3 linked regions of the Ovis aries genome follow. The protein of the gene in region 1 purifies or fractionates together with the protein of each later gene. This does not show direct contact. Links are inferred from orthologs where the notes say so. Each region holds a gene or a part of one and is shown in the gene's direction. Other genes may lie near its edges. The genes, in order: CD151, ITGB1 and ITGA3.

Region 1 (4,119 bases):
CTTCCGTGCCCGCGTTCCCCACCCAGGCGTGCCTCCTCTTGAGACCCCTCAGAGCCTGTGGGCTGCTATTCCCCAGGGAGCTGAACACGCGGCTCCGAGACGAGAGGGACGTCTGTGAGGCCCAGCGGCTGGGCAGCGGCCGCAGGAAGGCTCTGAGCTCCGCCCCCCTGCTGGGCGCCCCCTGCTGCTGCTGTTGCAGTAGCTGGGCTCGCCCCCCCAGACGCGGCTCCGGCCACCTGCCCAGTGGCCGCTGACTAGCCCGAGTGACTCACTGGGCCTCACCTGGCTGCTCAGAGAAGCCGCCCCTTGAAGGCGACTCGGCGTCGCCGGGGGCTGCCTATCCAGGATGTGGGCTCTCCCCAGTGAGCTGCCCGGCCTGCCTGACTTGCAGACATGAAGGAACTAACCTGGGGGGTCAGGGACTCATGTCTCTCGCTGCGGTCCTCATTCTATGCCCAGCGCATCGAAACTACCGGAAAACCCCTTCCTCTGAATAAAGTTCACTGACTTCATCCTCCTTGGCGTGTGGGAGCCGTAGCATTTGGACCAGGCGTCCCTCGCCCTTGTGTGTCCACTGGACATGTCCACAAGCCGTCCGCCAGAGTTGTAGGGACCAAGGCACTGAGGCCAGTAGGCCAGGAAGCGGTGGGCGGGCTTCCCTGACCGCCCCCAGCCTCCACCCCTCCCCATGCCAGTCCTCACACAGCCCTGGGGGGGCTAGTTCAGCCCACTGGAGTCCTGAGTGGAGGCACCAGGGGTGGGCCTGAGCTGTCGCCAGTGCCCTCTGCCCTGCCAGCCCGAGCCTCGGGCAGGGAGCAGGGGACGAGGGCGGCCCACCGTCCCGGGAGAGCTGTCCCCACCGACGGCGCCGCCTCGAGCCGTCGGGCGCTCGGCTCTAGCTCCCCAGCGCAGCCGGTCGCAGCCTCTGCCCTCGTTCCCGAACCTTTTCCCACCACTCCCAGGCGACACCCTCCTGTCTGGACCCTCTCACGCCGTGACCCGAGCCTCCCCTGCAAGCCGTCCTCCGCAGGGCGCCCAGAGAGGCCCCTCTCTGCCCCTGACCGCGCCTCTAGGCCGTCCCCCGGGCCGGCCCGCGTCTGTCCCGGGGACCCCCGCAGCCCCGCCCCGCCGCTCGTCCCGAGCGGGCGCCCTCGGGCCGCAGCCCGCCTGGCCTCGGCCTCCTCGCGTGGCCCCCAGGCGGCCGCCGGGGCTGGTGCCCCGCCCGCGCGCGCCGAGCGCCGTCGGGACCCGCCTGCGTCGCCGGCCGGGGCGGGGCCTGCGGGCTCGGGGCGGGGCCCGGGGCGGCCCCGCGCGTCTCGCTCGCAGGCCCGGGCCGGCTGTGTCTTCTGTGCCCTCCGAGCCGCCGCCGCCGCCCCCGCCGCCCGCCGGACTCCGACGCGTGGCCGGTGAGTGCACCGCCGGGCACCGACGACCGGGAGAAGCTGCGCGCCCGGCGACCCCGCAGGCTCCCACCGGGGGTAGACGAGTGCCCGGAGGCCCGGCGGGCCGAGGGTCCGCCGGGCGAGGGCAAGGTGCCTCCCTGGTCTCCGGACGGTCCTTGCGGCCCCCTCGAGCCGGGGGCTCCTCCCGAGCACCCCACGCACTGCGCGAACACCGGTGCCCTCCTCTCCGCCGGTGCCAGTGGGCGGGCCGCGCGCCCCGCCAGGGCGTGGGGGTGGCGGCGGCGGTGACTTCATCGCGGTGACGCGCGAATTCCTCACCGGCCTGCCGGGAGCCGAGCTGGGAGTCCCCCCACCTTGGGGCGTGGGCCGCTGACAGGCCCGGCTGGGCTTCGGGAGCCGGGGGCGGGGCGGCAGCGTCCAGGGCCGCGGGAACTATTTCTGGCCGGCCCTTCCCTGGGGGCTCACCTCCTCCGGGCACTCCCGGAAAGGCGGCCGGCTCCTCAGCCTTTCTCGCCCGAGGGCGGGCCGTGCGGGTGGAGCCTGTGCCTGGAAACAGCCTTCCCCGGACCCAGACCCCAGGACAGGCCCAGGTCCGCCGGCGCGGGGCGTTCTGCACCGTTTCTTCTTCCCCAGCAGCAGCTACTGCCGCTTGGTGGGGGAAGGGCCAGTTACAGGCCAGGTGCCAAGGCTCAGACTAGGGGGCTTGGAGGAGGCGTGCGGTTCCCCCCGGAATCGGACTGTCCAGAAATGTCTTCTGCCCTGCCCCGCCCTAGCCGAGGCCAAAACACCGGGCCTGGCCGCTCCCTTCTCCGAGCGCGGGGGGCGGGGCTTTGGAAGGCCAGCTCGCGGCCAGTACCTGGGTCAGCTACAAGGAGGGATGGTGGGATCCTGCCCATCCAGGTTGAGCCTGACCTGTGGCCTGTCCCTGGCCCTCTAGTGAAGCCTCCTCAGGTGGGAACTTCTGCCTGCCTGCCCTACAGAGGAGCCCTCCCACCAGCCAGGTGAGTGCTAGGGCAGCAGCTAGGAGTCCGGCTCCGGGAGGCACCCTGTCTGTCTGGAAACAGGGCCCCAGGGCTCCTCTGCCCTCTGTGTCCCCACCCCGCTCATGCAGACACCCAGAAACGAGAGGGTGGGGTGGCTCTGGGGAGGGGCACAGGCTGGAGCTTCATTTCCCCCTGGGTCAGCGTGGCTATCCCCATTCAGGAGGGACCCCCAGGTCTGGGGGTGGCGCCTGCCAGCTCTGGCTGGAAGGAAGGCAGGCCGGCCCTTTATGAGGCCTGAGGGCCTTCTCCAAGGCCACAGGACTAAGCTAGAAAAGCACAGATCAGTCTACCTTTGAGCAGCTTCTGCCGCCCCTGCCCCCCCAGCAGCCGGTAGGATCCTGCCAACCTGTGACGTGGGGCACAGGGAATGTTTGGGGTGGGGTGGGGTGAGGGGCCTGTGTGAGCTCACCTGAGCTGCCTGCAGGGCTGAGTCAGCCCGTGGTGGTGGCTGGGGGTCCTCCATGCCTCCCCCGCCATGCCCTGGGCGCTGGTCAGGGGAGCCGGGCCCCCCAGGCTCCAGTTGGGCTGTGGGCACCATGTCTGCCCTTGCCGCAGTGGTGGCGGGGGCTTCCGAGCAGCCCTCCCCCACAGGCGCTCCCAGAACCTTCACCCAGGCAGGGGGTTGGCTTGGCCCCAACCTGGTCTGGACGTGTGTCCCCCGCTCCTCTCCCCGCTGGCGTTTGGCCGTCCTCCCGGGCAGCCCCTCCCCCACCTCCCGGCCCCAGGATGGGTGAGTTTGGGGAGAAGTCGGCAGCATGTGGCACCGTCTGCCTCAAGTACCTGCTCTTCACCTTCAACTGCTGCTTCTGGGTGAGCAGTGGGCACCCCCTTCCCCGACCTCGGAGGAGCCTGGCCAGGGGTCCAGGCCCGGGGCCGGGTGTGGTGACCGGTGTGCACTGCCCGCAGCTGGCTGGCCTGGCCGTCATGGCCGTGGGCATCTGGACGCTGGCCCTCAAGAGCGACTACATCAGCCTGCTGGCCTCGGGCACCTACCTGGCCACAGCCTACATCCTGGTGGTGGCGGGCGTTGTCGTCATGGTGACCGGGGCGCTGGGCTGCTGTGCCACCTTCAAGGAGCGGAGGAACCTGCTGCGTCTGGTCAGCGGGGCTGGCCGCACCGCGGGTGGGGGTGGGGCTCCCTGCCAGGCTGCCTGGGGTGGTTCTGGGTTAGGAGGGCTTAGAAGGGAGACATGGGTGAGACTGCAGGACAGACAGACTCTGCTGTGCTCACCTGGGAGGGGCTCCCTGCCCACCTGTGGGTCCCCGTATCCCGGCTGGGCCAGCAGAGGGAAGACGGCTGAGGAGCACTGGGAGGCCGGGGTCCTCCAGCCCTCACCTGCTGCCGGGGGCCCCCATCGTGTGGCCACTTGGCAGCTGAGGGCAGTGGCTCTGCTCTGCCATGCCTGGTGCTGGGCGTCCTCATGGAATGGGGGCATCTGTGTCCCAGCCCACCTGACTGAGCCCCTGCTCCTCCCCCCAGTACTTCGGCCTGCTCCTTATCATCTTTCTGCTGGAGATCATTGCGGGGGTCCTGGCCTACGTCTACTACCAGCAGGTGAGGGCTGGGACAGGCCACCCGAGGACGTGGACGTGCAGGGACACACGTGCAGTGAGCTGGACATGAGCGTGCAGGAGACGTACACATACACATAGGGACACGGACACCCACGCAC
Region 2 (3,646 bases), on another chromosome or scaffold:
TTGTGATTATGTTGTTACCACTGTTGTGAGAAATGAGATTTTTAATTGCAGGAAATGGTGTTTGCAAGTGTCGAGTGTGTGAGTGCAACCCTAACTACACCGGCAGCGCCTGTGACTGTTCTCTGGACACCACGTCCTGCATGGCCGTGAATGGACAGATCTGCAACGGCCGCGGCGTCTGCGAGTGTGGGGCCTGCAAGTGTACAGACCCCAAGTTCCAAGGGCCAACCTGTGAGATGTGTCAGACCTGCCTTGGAGTCTGTGCTGAGCATAAGTAAGTCTTTCTCAGTTGCTTGAAATAGGTGATTGGTCACTGTCTGTTCGCCTGTGTGTGATCGCACGGTACCTAGAACAGTGCCGACACCAGGCCACACTGTAAATAAAGTATCTGTCACCTTGAAGCCCACTTTTTAAATCTAAAAATTCTCAATCGCTAGTGTTGGCACATGATAGTGAATTGTATCCTATGAGTGTGGTGGTACCATTATTTCAACCTGAATTTGGTATTTAATTGAATCCATGTGGTAACCTTTGTTAAATTAGTATTACCAATTGCTATTTACTGCCTTTTGACTAAATAAAATGGAAGGTTTTGTCTAGCAGAAAGAACCATAATATCAGCAACACATTTCAAAAGTTATTTTGGCTTTATATTGTATATTTCATTTCTGATTGGGCTAGTTTTAGCTTACTACTCTTATTTCTTTTGGAGGATTTTAGTTTGAGCTATAATAAATCTATAATTTCACTTAGGAAGCTAGCATCTTTTATGTTTAGTTTTCCCACCAAGAAATGTCATATGTTTCTTCATTTATTCATATCTTCTTTCATCTCTCTTGGCCAAATTTGGTCAAATTTTGAGTCTAGCACACAAAATAATCTTTGAGCAAATATTATTATAAATAATAAATATAATCATTTGCATTTTAACAGAGAATGTGTTCAGTGCCGAGCCTTCAATAAAGGAGAAAAGAAAGACACATGTGCTCAGGAATGTTCACATTTCAACATTACCAAGGTTGAAAATCGGGACAAATTGCCCCAGCCAGGCCAGGTGGATCCCTTGTCCCACTGTAAGGAGAAGGACGTTGACGACTGCTGGTTCTACTTCACATACTCAGTGAATGGGAACAATGAGGCCACTGTTCATGTTGTAGAGACTCCAGGTAGAAATCTGATCATTTCAAAGTTTTTTGCATTTTCTTTTATGTCTTTCTGCTGGTTAGAGCTTTTGGCAGTTCCCCTTGATCCCTGGGTTGGGAAGATCCCCTGGAGAAGGGAAAGGCTACCCACTCCAGTATTCTGGCCTGGAGAATTCCATGGACATTCCATGGAGTTGCAAATAGTCAGACATGACTAAGCGACTTTGACTCACTCACATTTAGGAACAGCTTCCAGCTACTTTACATGACTACTTTGCATTCAAGTTAGGACATTTTAATCTCTTCAAACTTAAAATAGTATTTAATTAACTATAAGAAATAAGGGAAAGAGAAAGCAAATTTTATGTTATGGAGAGTTTGAAGAGTAAATGCAGTAACCCGTATAAAGCCCTTAGCACAGTGCCTGGTAGAAGGTACTCAGTAGCATCATCACTAATAATATTTTTAATAGCAGCTTGATTTAGGCTTGGACGCTGGGAAAGATAATTGTTAAAGGGTATTATATGGCATGAATTTGTTCTGCTTTTCAAGAGAGGAATCATTTTTATCTTTTTTTTTTCTGGGAACTTTTAGTACATTCTTTGGAATTTTCTGCATTTGTGATTAAGTTATTATTGGAATGTAAGTTTTCATTTCTCTAGGATAAATGTTAGGGATTGGGGAGAGGGCATATATTTAACTTCAAAAGAAACAGGCAAACTTTTTTAAAGCCTCTGTTATTATTTTGCATTTTCAGGTATGTGTGTTTCAAATACTGTTTTTTGAAGACCAGAAGCTTAAATTTTACCAAGTTTTTCTTTTGTAGATCTTGCTTCTTACTACCTTAGAACTCTTTGCATAACTCAACTTCATAAGTATTTTTCTCCTGTGTTTTCTTCTGAAAGTTTTAGTTTCTGGATTTGCGTTTAGGTCCATAACGTATTTTGGGCTGCTCTCAGTATCTGGAGTGGAGGTCCAGTTATTTGTAGGTAGATTTCCAGCAGTTCTTGTACCATTGCTTGAAAAGGCTGACTTTTCTCCACTTTGGGTGAAAATAAGATGACCTTATGTGTGTGGGCCTGTTTCTGACTTTTGATTCTGTTCCATTAATTTAGGCATCTGTCCCTTAGCTAATAACACACTCTTTCAATTACTGTTGCTTCACGGCTAGTTTTGTGACATCTGGTAATGTAAATTGTCCAGCTTTGTTTTTTCCTGAAAGTGTTTTTGAGACACTTTCCTAGTTCTCCTACTTCTTTGTAAATTTTAGAATTCGCTTGCTTGATATCCCACACATGTCCTGCCAGGATTTTGATTGGGATAATATTGAGTTTATAGATAAAATTGGGAGAGGATTGTCTAATCAATTGTCTAATTGATGAACATAGATAAAATCTCTCCATTTATTCAGATCTTTTTTAAAAATCAGTGTTCAGTAATTTTTAGCATATAAATCTTGTACATGTTTTATTAGGTTTATACATAAGTATTTTGTGATTTTGGTGCTATTGTAGATAATACTATTTTCTGAGGTTCCGTTTCTAATATATAGAAATCAGTTTTGGTATAATTCATAGAAATACATGATTTTTATTTATTGATCATGTACCTTATGATCTTGTAAACTTATCTGTTACTTCTAGTATCTTTTTTTATAGGTTCTTTTGGATAGTGTGCCCCAAGATACGTCACTTATCTTGGAGTTTCTATTCCTGTGTCTTTTGTGAGACTGCACAGCTCTCTGTGGTTCTGGCTGCACCTTCACAAGCTAACCCCCCTTGTGTGCGTATCCTTTGCTTTTTACTTTACAGAGTGCCCCACTGGCCCAGACATTATTCCGATTGTAGCAGGTGTGGTTGCTGGGATTGTTCTTATTGGCCTTGCATTGCTGCTGATTTGGAAGCTTTTAATGATCATTCATGACAGAAGGGAATTTGCCAAATTTGAAAAGGAAAAAATGAATGCCAAATGGGACACGGTAAGTTGGAAAACATCTAAAATGGAAGGTGTTTCATAAAGTAAATGTAACGCTTCTAAGACTTGTTTATTAGCTCTAAAGCTGATTATTAAAGTCCTTTAAATATTTCAGTTGCCCCCCAGAATTTATTATTCAGGAAACTTGCATTCAGTGAAAAACAGAAAACATCTTAAATACATCCCATTAAAAGAAAATAGTTGTAAGAATGTTTCTTCAGGTTACTGTGGTATTTTTATTTTCTTATTAATTTTAATCTTAACTCTGCTCTTCTGCCTTTTCTTCTTATATAAAATAGAATCCTGGGGACTTCCCTGGTGGTGCAGTAGTTAACACTCACTTCTAACACAAGGGGTGTGGGTTCAATCCCTGGTTGGGGAACTTGGATCCCACATACTTGGCATGACCAAAAAAATTAAAACCCTACATAATTTCAGACTATTCAGTGGAAAGCTGCTGCTTTTTTTTTTTTTTAATTTAACAAAGAACCCTAAGTAGAAATCAGCCACTCAAAAGACTACGTGCTGTG
Region 3 (3,646 bases), on another chromosome or scaffold:
TGGAGACTCCGTACCTGAGTTCCTGCTGTGGGCTTAGCTGTGTGTATTGGGGGTGCGTCCCCCAGGTCTGTGCCCACCGCTACACCCAGGTGCTGTGGTCGGGGTCAGAGGACCAGCGGCGCATGGTGGGCAAGTGCTATGTGAGAGGCAACGACCTGGAGCTGGACGCCAGGGATGACTGGCAGACCTACCACAACGAGATGTGCAACAGCAACACTGACTACCTGGAGACGGGCATGTGCCAGCTGGGCACCAGCGGTGGCTTCACCCAAAACACTGTGTACTTTGGGGCTCCTGGTGCCTACAACTGGAAAGGTAGGGACCGTGGGGGAAGGGAAGAAGAGCAGAGACCACTACCCTTGTTAGGCCCTGAAGCAGTCTGCCAGAGCTTCCACACAAGAGGGCAGAGGAGAGCACGCCCTTGCCAACATCAGCAACCACCTCGACCTCTGATATTTTAAAGCACTTTCTAGGTACCAGAGGTACACCTATTATCTTAATTAATCTTAAAATGCAAGTATTATTATACCCATTTTACAGAAAACTGAGCCTTGGAGAAGTAAAATAAAGTCAAATAAACTGAGCCCCAAGGCCAGTAGTAAGTCCTGAAATGTGTATTGGAATGTAGGTCCATCTGATGCCAGGTTACCATTTAAAAACTTATTAAAAAATAAAACACATTCCTGGTACAACTACTAAATGGTACAGTCAATTAAACAGGAAGAGCGCCCATCTCCCACATCTCCCTCGTCCCATTTCCCAGTGTGTACTGCTAAGTGTCTCGTGGGTCCTTCCAGACCTGTTTTAGAATATATAGGTATCTTAAGAAACACACATACCCACACAGAAAATCATTTTAAATGTATTGTTCTGCTACTTCCTCTTCATGTATCAATAAATTTCAGACATGTTTTCACGTCAGTACATACAAGGCAATCTTTTGAGAGTGCTGCAGAGTATTTTCTTGTATCAAAACCCATGCTTTGATTCTGCCACACCACATACTGCCTTTCGGGCATCTGATGGCTCACACACCCTCCACCTGCCTCTCTCCACCACAGGCTATAGCAACAGTGACCTCTTTTCCCTTACTGCACCTACTATTGCAGAATCAACAAGCAGAGGGAGCCCAGAATCTTTTTTTTTTTTTTAATTGCAGTATAGTTGATGTACAATACTATGTTAGTTTCAGGTGTATAACACAGTGATCAGTATTTAAGTACATTGTAAAATGATCACCCCTAGAAGCCAAGAAACCATCTGTCACCCTTCAAAGTGATTACATTATTATTGACTATATTTTTTATGTGGTATGTTACATCCCAATGATTTATTTATTTTGTCCTCTTGACCAACAGATTGCCCAGGGCATAGTCACAGCTCTGGGCTCACCTGAGGCTGAGGCCTCTGCTCACTTTGCTAGTCTTTCTTCCCACTCCTTGGCAGGGCCAAGGGACTCTCCAGCAGCAGCCTGGGGGCAGGGGAAAGCAGGTAGCCTGGGGACAGGATTAGGAGGAGATAATGGTGTGAGTCTGGCTTCCTTGTCTAGGGTGGGGGAAACGTCATCTGTTGATAGTATGCTGGTACCCAGATGACTGGATTCCAGCCATGACTGGACATCCCTGAGCCTCCATCCCTGAGCCTCCATCCCTGAGCCTCACTTTTCTCATCTGCAAAATGGGGGTCATCATGCTAGCTCAGAATTGTTAAAATAAAGAGTAAGTGATTTTCAAATGGCAAAGTACTCACAGATAAAAGAGGTTATTGTTATCCTTGTCTGGAGTGGGGGCTGGACATAGTGGAGAAAAGGAGTGGTGGCTTATACCCCCTTCCTGAAATCTTTATGAAGGAAACAGCTACATGATTCAGCGGAAGGACTGGGATTTGTCTGAATATAGTTACAAGGACCCAGAGGACCAAGGAAACCTCTATATTGGTGAGTCCAGTGGTAGTGGCCTTTTGGTGGGGAGGAGAAAGGGGGCTCAGTCCCTGGCACACTGGTCCTCTCTGCTTCAGTGTCTGGGAGTAGAGAGGCCAGGCTGCCCTGAGACCAGTAGCATTCAGTTCAGCTAGCACACACTTACTGAGCACCAGCTGTATACTCCACCCAGAGGCAGAGTCATGACCCTCATGGAGTTCATGGTCAGGGTACAGTCAGGACTTGGGGCTGGGCATCCAAGGTCCACTTTCTTGCCCAACTTAGAATAGAGGAATAGAAGATAATGGGGGATCCTGGGAGATGACCAGAGTACAAGGGGACCAAGCTTACTGGAGTCTCAATTGACCACCTTCCCCCCATCCCAGGCTACACGATGCAGGTGGGCAGTGCCATCCTGCACCCCACAAACATCACCATTGTGACAGGTGCCCCGCGGCACCAACATGTGGGCGCTGTCTTTTTGCTGAGCCAGGAAGCAGGTGGAGACTTGCGGCGGAGGCAGGTGCTGGAGGGCACGCAGGTGGGAGCCTATTTTGGCAGTGCCATTGCCCTGGCAGACCTGAACAATGATGGGTGAGGATCCAGGGACATTTCTCTGGGGCCAGGGAGAATGATGAGGGGGTGGGCTTGCACGAGTGAGGGCAGAGAAATAGAGGTTTGCAACTGTGCGTCTTTTTGCATGCTGTTTGCAGGGATTTACACATCAGTTTTGCATGTTGATTTGCAATCAGACTTTATGGGATTCGGGGTGTTTGCATGTCAATTTCATAATGCCTGCATCTCACTGTCTGTGCCTGTCATTCATATGGCCCTAGTGGATATGAGCTGTTTGGGTGTGATCTGTGTGTACATGGCTTTTCCCGAACCTGTGTTTTCTATCAGATTGGTCACATTGACACTTCCAAGTCCTTCCCACAACCTGTGGCCAGAGGCATCACTTGTAGAGTTGTGTGCCCTGCCTGGCGCAGTTGTGTCTGCTAAATAACAGTTATGCTGCATGTTCCATCTCCCCCTCCTTCTTTCCTTTGCAGGTGGCAGGACCTCCTGGTGGGTGCCCCCTACTACTTTGAGCGGAAAGAGGAAGTAGGGGGTGCGATTTATATCTTCATGAACCAGGCAGGCACCTCCTTCCCAGACCGCCCCTCCCTCCTTCTTCACGGCCCCAGTCGCTCCGCCTTCGGCTTCTCTGTGGCAAGCATTGGCGACATCAACCAAGACGGATTCCAGGGTACGAGCCAGCACTCCCGCCCCAGCATCCACTGACTGAGAGCCAGCTGCATACCAGGCTTGATAGGGCCCAAAAAGGAGACAGACTCGGGCCCAAGTCTGGGGAGCTCACAGCAGTGCAGACGGAGCCCCCAGGGGTGAGCTCAGTAGACCTCCTGGAACAGTGGACATACCACTGGGCATCAAAGGCCAGGCTGAGTGTACACAATGGTGGGAACAGAAGGGGCAAAATGTGAGTGTGGTACATTTGGCTGATGTATAGTGGGTATGAGGTGTTCACATCAGAGATGTGGCTGGAGAAGTGGGGTGGGGGTGGGGTGGACACACTGAAAGCCAGGCAGCAAAGCTAGGGCTTTATGCTTGGGTTATGGTAGAGGGGTGTCGGAAAAGATTTGAGGGCAGAGGTGTGACATGATAGCTTGGTACCCTGAGAGATGATTTTGGAGGGAGATGTGGGCTGGATGGAGGTGGGTAGCAAGG

What was found.
Region 2: the proteins of CD151 (region 1) and ITGB1 purify together in Homo sapiens (affinity purification with western blotting; 4 studies listed by BioGRID and IntAct, with this or other methods). This does not show direct contact. The link is inferred for Ovis aries from reciprocal best matches to the Homo sapiens genes CD151 and ITGB1.
Region 3: the proteins of CD151 (region 1) and ITGA3 purify together in Homo sapiens (co-immunoprecipitation; 4 studies listed by BioGRID and IntAct, with this or other methods). This does not show direct contact. The link is inferred for Ovis aries from reciprocal best matches to the Homo sapiens genes CD151 and ITGA3.

What each region holds. Positions count from the first base shown.
Region 1 is NC_056074.1:46,921,713-46,925,831, reverse strand, and holds the start of CD151 (CD151 antigen), read left to right. Parts: upstream 1-1,313; 5' UTR 1,314-1,406; intron 1,407-1,719; exon of another isoform or gene 1,720-1,993; intron 1,994-2,303; 5' UTR 2,304-2,404; intron 2,405-3,037; 5' UTR 3,038-3,172; coding exon 3,173-3,256; intron 3,257-3,352; coding exon 3,353-3,544; intron 3,545-3,926; coding exon 3,927-4,001; intron 4,002-4,119. Other genes in the region: CRACR2B (EF-hand calcium-binding domain-containing protein 4A), read left to right, coding at 1-118. UniProt on the Homo sapiens protein: Structural component of specialized membrane microdomains known as tetraspanin-enriched microdomains (TERMs), which act as platforms for receptor clustering and signaling.
Region 2 is NC_056066.1:19,329,633-19,333,278, forward strand, and holds part of ITGB1 (integrin beta-1), read left to right. Parts: intron 1-51; coding exon 52-274; intron 275-933; coding exon 934-1,166; intron 1,167-2,953; coding exon 2,954-3,120; intron 3,121-3,646.
Region 3 is NC_056064.1:36,313,871-36,317,516, reverse strand, and holds part of ITGA3 (integrin alpha-3), read left to right. Parts: intron 1-65; coding exon 66-315; intron 316-1,849; coding exon 1,850-1,936; intron 1,937-2,304; coding exon 2,305-2,512; intron 2,513-2,970; coding exon 2,971-3,167; intron 3,168-3,646.